Nothobranchius furzeri: one gene and its partners. The protein of the gene in region 3 interacts with the protein of the main gene of each other region in a pairwise test. Links are inferred from orthologs where the notes say so. Each region holds a gene or a part of one and is shown on either strand. Other genes may lie near its edges.

Region 1 (3,751 bases), on a different chromosome or scaffold from region 3:
GAATCCTGTAGAAAGGCTAGGCATTTAAATATAGAAACATTTACCTTCGTTCGTCAGCTAAACAGTAATTTAGAGAAACACATTTGAGTAGAAAACAGCTTGAAAGAAGCAGCACTGCTGAATGCATGCTTCATAAACTTGTTTCATTTAGAAAGTTTTAGTATTTACATTTTAAAACAAAGTGACCGTCAGGCTAACTACTGCTAGCTGAGCTCATACGTACCGACAAGAAAGTCAGTAATTCCCTCATTTAGGGACTCTTGCGGTGCTTTCCTCTTGCTCATTGTGGATTTTAGATACGTTAGAATGCTCCCTGCAATCCAGACAGTTTTACTAACCGGTAAAATACGTTTTAAGAAATTTAAATCTCCAGTTAGCTTACGGCTAGCACTTTAGCCAACGGTCACGCAGAACAATGACCTAATACGTAGAAAGGTGTGCGCATGCGCAATGCGTTACTGACCCCCAAACAGGATTGTTCTTTTTGTATTTTCATTAAAAATTGATCATTTTCACCAACATTTTTGGTGAAAAACTTATTATAGAACATTGTTTGCGATCTACACAGTAATTAAAAACATACAATGTACAGAAAAAGTAGTAAATATAAATAGCTGGCGTCTATCAGTAAATAGTGTAATTACAGCCTTTTATTTCAAATTTGCAGAATATCTGCTACTTATCCCCTACACAATAAAGCAACGTTTTTTTAAATAAGGTGCTTTAAATATGTTATTGTTTTGGAAGATACTAAAATTCAGTAACAATAAAGATAAAACCTTTCATATAAAACATGCCTCCTTAACTAATTATTACCATTTCCATAAAATCCCTCATTCTGTTACTTAGTAAATTGTGAAAAAAATCTCAACAAAATGGTTAATTTACAGGATAAATTCTACCTATTCTTGGTCCTCCTCATGTTTTAAGAATCATTTTTTACATAAACTTTGTCCCTAGAGAATATTTTAATGGCCTCTTCAATCTCAGAAAGCCTATAATCAAGATAAGTCCGATGGGATCGAACACTCAGATTGTCTGCTTTCAGCGGGAGTGAGAGCAGTTCAGTCACCAAGGAGCGATGGGCTACGGAAAAAAAAGACATAATTAGTTATGTGAAAATAGTTGTACATATTGTATTTACGGCACAACCAAAATGCTTTTGGTATCATTGCAAAGGTGGACACTTACTAGATTTTAGGGTTTTTAGTGTCTCTTGTCTCTCATTCTCCGGCATTAAGGTGTGACCAGCTGGGACTGTAGGGTCAGGTGTATTCCTCCTCTTCTCTTCCTTTTCCTTACGCCACTGCTCCTTCCTTTCCACAAGACTTGTGTGGGAACATCAATGACAGGAGAAAAACATCAAAGAGATAAAATTTATTTCTCAGTCGGTTCATTTAAATGTACACTCTGATGTTAAATCACTCACTACTGTGGTACTTGTCCTTTGATTGCACTGGGCACAGGGTTTTCTCTGAGATTTGTCAAAGACTGGGATCGGCGGACAACAGTTTTTCCAGCAGACCGAGCGTTATGTTTTATGAAGTCTATGGCCTGACCTTGCACCTGTAACTTTATTTAAAAAAAACATACAGAGTTGCAGATACATATAAGTTGAAAATGTGCTTCTCATTCAATTTCAAATACAATTCATGAAACAGGAATGACATGTTGTGGTCAAATTGTGGTACTGCAGTCCATGAAATAACTTCTGGGCTGCTTCTGTTTACTGGCTTCCAATCTGTTCACAACACTGTTGTTCTTTGCCTGCTGGTGTTGAATTACAAACTCAGGTGCAGTGTTTGCGTTGAAGACTAAGCAACTTTGCAGGCTCAAATACAAATGGTAAATGGCCTGTATTTGATATAGCGCCTTCTTAGAGATCTACAACCTCCCAAGGCACTTCACAACACAACACAATCAGTCATTCACCCATTTACCCACACATTCACACGCTGATGGGGATGAGCTATGATGTAGCCACAGCTGCCCTGGGGCGCACCGACAGAGGTGAGGCCTGCCAAACACTGGCACCACCAGCAGGCAAGGCAGATGAATGAATGAATACATTTTATTTAAAAGCACCTTTCAGAACACCCAAGGTCACTTGACAGAAAACACGTAGTAAAATACAATAAAACAACAATAAAACCCAAACAAGAAAAAAAAAAGCAGAGAGAAACAGTTCAATAAAATCAGAGGTTGTAGGCAGATTTAAACATGTGTGTTTTGAGTTTTGTTTTGAAAAGGGTAAATCTGTCGATGTTCCTGATGTCTGGGGGAAGTGAGTTCCAGAGACGGGGAGCAGAGCGGCTGAAAGCTCTGCTCCCCATGGTAGTGAGACGGGCAGAAGGAACCGCAAGATGGATGGAAGAAGAAGATCTGAGAGGATGGGATGGGGTGTGAATACTTATAAGGTCTGAGATATATGGAGGAGAGAGGTTGTGGATTGCTTTGAAGGTATGAAGGAGAATTTTGAAGATGGACCTGAATTTAACTGGGAGCCAGTGAAGCTGCTGGAGAACCGGGGTGATGTGGTGAAAGGAAGGGTTTCTGGTGATAATACGGGCTGCTGAATTCTGGACCAGTTGCAGTTTATGAGTGAGTTTGTTGGGGAGACCATTAAGATTAAGTATCTTTTCCAAAGACACAACAACAGCATTCTCTGGTCAGAGCCTGGATCGAACCTGCAACTTCTGATTACTGGACAACCCACTCTACCTCCTGAGCTACTGCTGTTCCAGTGGGAACGGCTCTGGAACGAGGAAACATGGAGGCAGGATGATTGTAAACAAAGACTACATCTCCTTGCAGCCTTTTAACAAGGGAAGAAAACTGGCAACCACCCAGTCGGCTGAGCAGGAAATTGTTTCAATGTAACCTTCCTTCCAACGTGATTGAGACATTAGGCTGTTTTGTGAATATTTCCCTATAAAATCACTACCTATTGCACCTTTAAGTAAAACATTCAAATTGCCCCTGGGAATTTTTTGAATACAGAAATATTTGTTTTGTTTGTTCCCACCTTCAAGTCTGGGTCTTGTGTGGAGCTGCAGGAAGCTGGGTGCTGCACAACTACAGGTGAAGATTTTGAAGGTGAAGCAGAACTACAGTTTGAATGGGCCTTTAGAAAGTTTTGACACTGAGGCTTAACAGCTGGACTGGAAACCTAAACGAATGAAACATATGAGGTGGAAAAATTGCAAGGCAAAATTTTATCTCACGAAAGAGTTTTGAACTTGCCTCTAGGTGGGCCATCACTTTAGACGGGGTGTTCTGGTATTTTGAGGAGGTCCATAAAGCTTTAACTGGAACAGGGCCGCTCTGCGCCCTCTCAGCTTCCTGCTCTTTGCAGCGTTTCTGGATCTCCCGTAGCCGACGTACATTTTCTTTACGAAAGTCTTGTACTTTTTGTTCTACAGGGAAACAATACAAAAGCGGTTGGAATTAAAGTTACTGCTAAAGGTTTGCTAACGCAGATAAACGGCGTCAAAAGCAACTCCACAGACATCGGTGAGGCTCTGATGAAGGCGACAGCAGGAGCCAAAACTGTTAGCAAAAAAGGTAAAAACAAGCTTTGCTACTCTGTGTACAGGATTTTTCAATAAGGATAAGGAAAAATTAACCTATTTATCCAAAGCAATTAGAGCTATTGAAATCAAGCCACTCTGGTAAGTCAGTCACTCTCACTCTGTTTGGGAACTGGAGTTACAGAGACACCGTCTAGTTTCAGTAGCTCTCCCACAAGTCC
Region 2 (3,527 bases), on a different chromosome or scaffold from region 3:
TTTTTTTAAACGTTTTACATTTTCAGACAACTAAATAAACCCTGTATATCAGGAAAATATTGTCCTCAGTTTGTGTCTAAATTTAGCCTAAAATTTGTTATTTTGTAATTATGTTGTTTATTTGTTTACATTTTTTCCCTTTAGTCTTTAAAATAGCAATGTTTGCCCATAACTTCTTATTTTTTGTCTGTTTGATGTCATCATTTAAAAATATTAGATCAGATGATACTCAGTACTCAAGTAGCCTTCTAATTAGATACTTTTTTTTACCCTTACTTGAGTAATAAACCTTATATCAGGAAAATATTGTCCTCGGTTTGTGTCCTTCCTGTGAGCTTTGCAGATTTGGGAAAATGTCATCAGGCAGTAATCATTGTTAAATTCATAATTATTCTCGGAGAGAGACCAACTCTTATCTGCCCCTGGGAGCCCCGTAATGCATAGCGTCATTTCAATTTGGCGGTGTCCGCGACACGGTTTATATGCAGGTAGCGGCGCTGCGGCTGCTTTATATAGCGACTCGTTGCGTTCTCCCTCAACCCAAATCCTCGGATCACACATTTTAGCTAAAACGCTAACGTTAACTTGCCTTGCGTTGACTGTAGAGTTGTGGGTGATGGTCACGCAGATGTGTCATGAGATTTGAAGCGTTGCTGCCTTTCACAGACACTTTTTCTGCACGTGCTGCAAACAGGATAGCCGTCGTCTATAAACTGTCCTTCGGCACTCTTCAAATATCCAAAAAATGCCTGCACTTCCCACTTTGTCTTCTTTGAGGGATGATAAATGTCCTGAGCCCTGCCATCTCCTCCTTTGGCCATTATTTCAGCTTTAGCTTCAAGAAAGTTTTGGTTGTAAACAACAAAGTGTGCATGTGCCACCGGCAACTTCTGCAGATGATACGGTGGCTGGTAAGGGTCACCGCGCCTACACCGCAGCCACGGTAATCCACCAAGATAATACATATTTTTTAAAAAACAAGAAGGTTATTACTGTCAACTTTTTTACTGGGGTTTACCGCTGCACCGGTTACCGTGACAACCCTAGCGGAGAACAGTCTCAAGTTCAGAGCAGGACAGAATGGGACTCAGCTTAGCAATGTTCCTGAGATGGAAGAAGGAAGAGTGAACAAGAAAACTGACATGAGAATCCATAAATTATATGTTTTTATCTCAGATTAATTTATGTTAAAAAATTTTTAATCCCAGATTAATGTACTTTAATTATTATTTTCCTGCAGATGAAAATCAGCCTGGAGCCCAAAGCGAAGAAAAGCCGTCGGACTCAAATAGTTGAGCCTAAAGAGGAAGCCAGTGTACGTGTACGGTCTTTTCTTTTCCCATTATTAATTACCTGTTAAAGATTTCTGTGTTGAGAAAGCTTAGTGAAGGTGGAGATAATGCAACAGCGTTGGTTCTGCTCCATCAGGACCCGGAGCCTGAGATGGAGGCGGTCAGCTCCAGCCAGGAGATCCCTGTGTCATCAGCTCTTCAGCAGCCTGAGAAGCTGTCCGTGTCCACGCAGACCAAGAAGGCCAGCGGGGGGTCGCCGCGCATGCTGCACCGCAGCACTCAGACCAACAGCGACGGCGCCTGCCAGAACATGTGCCACGAGAAGTACACCAAGGTTTTTAACGATGTCAAGGAGATGATGAAGGCCGACAACAAGAGGGAGACGGAGCGGGTGGTCCGAGAAGCTCTGGAGAAGGTTGGTTTGGATGCCCCGGGAGGATATTCAGGATACCTCTGTGGACTTTGAGATGTCACTTCCTGTTTTCCGTCCCTTCAGCTGCGTGCTGAGATGGAGGAGGAGAAGCGGCAGGCGGTGAGCAAGGCGGTGTCTGGAGTGCAGGTGGAGATGGAGAGGAAGTGTAAACAGGTGAAGGAGAAGTGTAAAGAGGAGCTGGTGGAGGAGGTGAAGAAGCTGGTGGCTCAACACAAGCAGCTCATCTCCCAGACCAAGAAGAAGCAGTGGGTGAGTTCAGAGGTCACCCGTCTCTGTTCACGAGGAGAACTCGACTCGTTTTCCTTTATTTAGAGTTTTTAGATTTAACGTCGGCTGGAATTATGTTGGGATTTAAATTCATGATGATTTTATTATTTTCATGTTTCCTGTTTTAGTCTCACTGACTCTGACTAATTTAAGAATATATGACTTTTTAATGTCTTTTGTTGTATATTTATTCTTATTTTATTTCCAGACTGATTTAATGTCAGAACTTTAATCACTAATTTTCTTGAAGCCACTTTCCTCTGGCCTTCTGATCGGGGAACTCGGTCAGGACTTTGGGATTATTTGGAGATAAAACGATTAAATTTTAAAATCCGGTAGAGACGAGAGCGAAGCCCTGTGAGGTACTGGTTTGGGGGCTGGTTACTAACTGGAGCTGTGTGTCGTCCTCCCAGTGTTACAACTGTGAAGAGGAGGCCATGTACCACTGCTGCTGGAACACCTCCTACTGCTCCATCAAGTGTCAGCAGGAGCACTGGCACGCCGACCACAAACGAACCTGCCGCAGGAAGAGATGAACAAGCCCCGCCCATTTCTAACCGCTTCCAACTCCTGATTGGTTCTCAGCTTCCCCCTCTTGTCTATGTCCAACACACACACAGAATTCTCCTCCCCTCGCCTTCCCGAAGGGTTCTGCGTCACAGCGAGACAATTCCTGTTATTTAATGTAGCTTTTTTTTATGTTTGTTTTCTGGTTTGTTTTCTCGAGAGCGTGGCTCCGACCCGAGTTGTGGTGATGATCTACATTTTTAACTCGTATGTTTTCTTTACTGAAGTGCTGATTTTGTTATTTAAGTGTAGAAACACGACGTGAGTATTGCTCAAAAACATTTTATTACCTGAACTTTTTACTGTAAATGCAGCAAGCCTGTTTAAATACCAACACAATAAAATGACTGTCGCAGATTTTACGACTTTAAAGTCTTACACCTTTTTGCTCTCCGTAAACGGATTGGGGTGAATAGAACCGTGATGATTTCTGCCTGAGTCTGTTAGCTTGTCGTCACTGGGAACAGGGTCTTTTCACAAGTCTCAGTTAAAATTAGATGTTTCCTTAAAGTTAATTTTGGAGTTTATTTTATTTTTAGCTATTGAAATCCCTCCCCCAAAAATCCAGGTTTTATTCCAGATTTGACCTGAGAAGCTCGTTGATGTTGCGAAACACTCAGAATTCTTGGTTTGTGTTTAGAGTCTGAAGAAGTGAAGCTGCTGCTGTTTTGGTTTGTTTCTCATCGTCTAAATCCCTCTTCAGCATCGTGAACATTTCCATCATCAGTGAAACAAAACCAGAAGCTTTCTGGTGCGACTGGAGAGCCAATCAGAACAAAATCCAAAAGGATGTTCCTTTCCCCGTTTGTTTTATAATGGAGGCAATCAAATTGCCTGCTTGTTTTTGTTTTACAGTTCTGTGTAAACCGTTCTCGCTCCTTCTGTCTATGCTTTCTCCACAGAGATTTGATGAATTTTCTGTGAATGTTTCCTAAACTGGAAGAACTTTTCTTCTCGGTGGGAATGAA
Region 3 (3,651 bases):
TGTTTATATCAGAGCTGAGCTGTGGGAGAAAATACTCAGGCTTATTTTATCGTATTTTCTATTATCTTTGGGTTTTGTGCATTCACTTAATATCAATTATAACATTATAAATAACAAGTCACTACAGTCTGGGCATAGAACGTGTTTCTATGAACTAAAGCTTGTTGGGTTAGGGTTAGCAGCAGCTCACCTCTTCCTATCACACTGACAGGAGAAATCCCCTCGTCAGCATCAGGCGGTCTATAGAGTGTCATGACTGAACCTCTCATTGTTACACCAGAGCTCGTCTCCATTGGCGCTAATTAGTGCGACTAGATTCTACAAAGATTTCATAAATAAACGCACAACTTAGATCTGTGGCTCGTATTTAACCAAAACCAGAGTGCACTATGGGAGCAAGACACCAGCTCCCGTGCAACACGTGATCAAATGGGAAGAGTCAAAGATTATACAGGAGTCAAGAGCAATTCCTGAATGTAAAAAATTGTAGTTTTTCTAGATAAATGTGGAGCAGAGTTTTTAACCTGAAGATGGAGATATAATTACGGTTGTGGGCTGAAATATTAAATTTGAAGTAAGTTGAACTTAACTGTGACACTAATGATTACACATGTCTACAGCACCATTACGACACTCATCTATACTGGTTATCAGCAAATAAAAAAAAGGTAACACTTTAGCTTAGGGAACACAAATTAACCATTAATTAGCTGCCAATTAATATGCGTATTAGTGGACTACTAAGTCTGAACTTGTCATTATTAAGCATTTATTAACTGCTTATTACTAATGCCGTAATTTTTGAATGCTGTAAAGTGATCCTGTTTCTCTTTATAGTTCAGCCTAATGACTCCTTACAGCTCCTCGTTGAATGCTGCAATGATGTGAAGAGCTGGCTGTCAGAAAACTTTCTTTTGCTGAACGATGCCAAGACAGAGGCCATCATTTTCAGCCCTAGGACTTCTCAAAGTCCCCAACTGACCCTTCCTTTTATCACAAGTGGGTTGAAAACCCATGTCACAAACTTAGGGGTTGTGATGGATGCAAAACTAAAAATGGACATTCATGTCAACCAGGAAGTTAAGACCTGTTTTTACCACCTGAGGCGTCTCTCTAAAGTTAAGTCCATTTTAAAAAGGCGTCATCTCCATTCAGTAGTCCATGCTTTCATTACCTCCCGTCTCGACTACTCTAACTCAGTGCTATATGGTATCTCCTCCTCCACTCTCGCTCGCCTTCAGCTTGTGCAGAACGCAGCAGCTCGATTCTTGACTGGCACCAGGCAGCGAGAACACATCACACCGGTTTTAGCAAATCTCCATTGGCTACCCATCCATCTCCGGATAGAGTTTAAGATCCTGGTTTTTGTGTTTAAATCCCTCAATACCTTAGCACCTGGCTACTTGTCTGAGCTCATTCACCCATATGCCCTTACAAGATCCCTCCGATCAGCTGACCAGCGCTTCCTACATGTCCCTAGCTCCTGCTGTAAATCCCGCTGGGAGCACGCCTTTTCAGTTTGTGCACCGAAGCTCTGGAACCACTTGCCCCTCCTGATCAGACTCTCGTCCTCTCTTTCCCTTTTTAAGTCTCGTTTAAAAACTCACTTTTATTCGTTGGACGTTAATTCAGTCTAACTTATTCTCTTTCTCCTTTTCTTTTCGATTTGAATGACTCAATTTTAATGGATTCACTTCTTTGTGCGTGTGGGCGCGCACATCTTCACAAAGCGGAGCACTGACTCCTCTCAGACATGCGGAAGTTGAACTCATCATATTTTAGAAATTAAATAGATGTGTTGCTGTTTAACACGTTTACTAGAAATCTTAAAAAACATAAAATGAAAACTTGGATTACATGATTAACTGCATTACATGCGTATGTGAATGTGTCTCACCTCTCTCACAGTATGGCTCACCCTCCTCCATGTAAAAAGCCTGATTCCGGATGGGAACTTTGCAGGCAGCACATTTAAAACATTGAACATGGTAGGTCATCTTCAGAGCGTGCATGATCTCCTGAAAACAGAAGTTTCACATGTTTATCTTTTTCCTTTTCTGGTCAAGCTAACTTTCTGGTTTGAAGTTTTCTGAAAGAACAGAAAAGAAAAAAATAGCAGCTCTTACTCCAGAAATCTTCTTCTTGCACTTGGCACAGGTCGAAGCATATCGGTTATCATGGCACTTTGTGCAGTAGACAGATCCTCTCTCCTCGAAGAAGCCCCCTTCCTCAAGAACTGCCTTACAATGAGAGCATGTAAACTCCTCTGGGTGCCAGGACTGACCCAGGGCCACCAGGTACCGACCCCTGGAGAAGATGAAAACACACAATTTTTATTTAATTATTTATTTAACCAGGTGAGGGACTCATTGAGATGTCAATTCTCATTCACAAAAGTGACAGGGGCCTTATTCATAAAAACAGGGTCTGAAAACTTCATAATTCAATTCAATTCAATTCAATTTTATTTATATAGCGCCAAATCACAACAAGAGTTGTCTCAAGGCACTTCACATAACAAACATTCCAATTCAGGTCAGTTCATTAAGCCATTCAAATTGCAGCAATCCTCATACTAAGCAAGCATAAAGCGACAGTGGAGAGGAAAACTCCCTTTTAACAGGAAAAAACCTCCAGAGAATCCTGGCTCAGTATAAGCAGCCATCCTCCACGACTCACTGGGGATGGAGAAGACAGAACAGGCACACACACACACACACACACACACACACACACACACACACACACAAAGACGAAGTAATTTGTCTATAGTTATATTGTGATTTCTTAGTAAATATTCCATTTGGTGAGAGATAAACTTTATTGTATGTATCCTAGTGGATCTATAATTAAACGGATAAACTAGTAGTAGCACATCCAGCATCAAGGAAAGCAAAAAGTTATTATCAGGAGAGGGAGAATGTTTAAGTGGTTAGCAGCAGTGTGCTAGATGATAGCCCCCTCCATGAGGCCACCACAGCTCAGCAGAACATCATTGTAGCTTCTTGTGGGGAGAAAAACACTTACCCCGGCTTTCCACAGCAGCCGTCAGCAGCACGTTACTGCAGCAGCACGTCATAGCTGCTGATAGGAACGGCTGTGGTCAACAGAACCTTTTCCACAGGAGCCGTCAGCAGCGCGAGTCGGCCGCGTCTCAGGAGCAGCATGTCGCGGCCTTTACGCGCCGGTTCTATTTCCTACGCGCGACGCCTCTGAAACGGGTCAAGTTTGACATTTTTGGGGAAGGAAAGACAGGAAATCGGACGCGGAAATGGAGAGAAGCTCCCGAGATTTTCAGAATAAAGAACGTACTGCCTTCCGGTCGCTTTACTTTAAAAAAGGTTACTAACTGTGCGGCCCCGTGAGAAGTTATCACCAACTAGCGGTCTCCTTTGTTTTTCAGGTCCGTATTGGCGATTATAAAATGGACAGAATATAAAAACACAAACATTTTGGAACCATGTTGTAGTTTTCTCCTGCTTGTTGTTGTGTTTACTGACGAAGTCACTCGTGTGACTTCGTGCCCTGTCGGTGACAGCTGCTCCTCTGCTGCGTCGCGTCTCGTGGGAAGGGCCAAGCAGCAGCTAGACGTGCTGCTGCAGTAACGTGCTGCTGACGGCTCCCGTGGAAACCCGGGGTTAGAGAGAAAAT

The links.
Region 1: the proteins of pdlim7 (region 3) and enkd1 interact in binary tests that used the Homo sapiens proteins (3 or more experiments, as listed by UniProt). The two-hybrid records come from large-scale screens. The link is inferred for Nothobranchius furzeri from reciprocal best matches to the Homo sapiens genes PDLIM7 and ENKD1.
Region 2: the proteins of pdlim7 (region 3) and zmynd11 interact in a two-hybrid assay, tested with the Homo sapiens proteins (2 studies listed by BioGRID). The link is inferred for Nothobranchius furzeri from reciprocal best matches to the Homo sapiens genes PDLIM7 and ZMYND11.

The regions. Positions count from the first base shown.
Region 1 is NC_091757.1:55,620,049-55,623,799, forward strand, and holds the end of enkd1 (enkurin domain-containing protein 1), read right to left. Parts: coding exon 3,691-3,751; intron 3,417-3,690; coding exon 3,244-3,416; intron 3,170-3,243; coding exon 3,026-3,169; intron 1,573-3,025; coding exon 1,430-1,572; intron 1,329-1,429; coding exon 1,192-1,328; intron 1,087-1,191; coding exon 926-1,086; 3' UTR 489-925; downstream 1-488. Other genes in the region: polb (DNA polymerase beta), read right to left, coding at 224-284. UniProt on the Homo sapiens protein: Microtubule-binding protein which regulates microtubule organization and stability. Promotes the stability of astral microtubules and facilitates the proper orientation of the mitotic spindle.
Region 2 is NC_091751.1:36,836,323-36,839,849, reverse strand, and holds the end of zmynd11 (zinc finger MYND domain-containing protein 11), read left to right. Parts: intron 1-1,240; coding exon 1,241-1,321; intron 1,322-1,428; coding exon 1,429-1,707; intron 1,708-1,788; coding exon 1,789-1,974; intron 1,975-2,405; coding exon 2,406-2,528; 3' UTR 2,529-2,921; downstream 2,922-3,527. UniProt on the Homo sapiens protein: Chromatin reader that specifically recognizes and binds histone H3.3 trimethylated at 'Lys-36' (H3.3K36me3) and regulates RNA polymerase II elongation. Does not bind other histone H3 subtypes (H3.1 or H3.2).
Region 3 is NC_091741.1:103,112,399-103,116,049, forward strand, and holds part of pdlim7 (PDZ and LIM domain protein 7), read right to left. Parts: intron 2,308-3,651; coding exon 2,127-2,307; intron 2,019-2,126; coding exon 1,898-2,018; intron 1-1,897. UniProt on the Homo sapiens protein: May function as a scaffold on which the coordinated assembly of proteins can occur. May play a role as an adapter that, via its PDZ domain, localizes LIM-binding proteins to actin filaments of both skeletal muscle and nonmuscle tissues.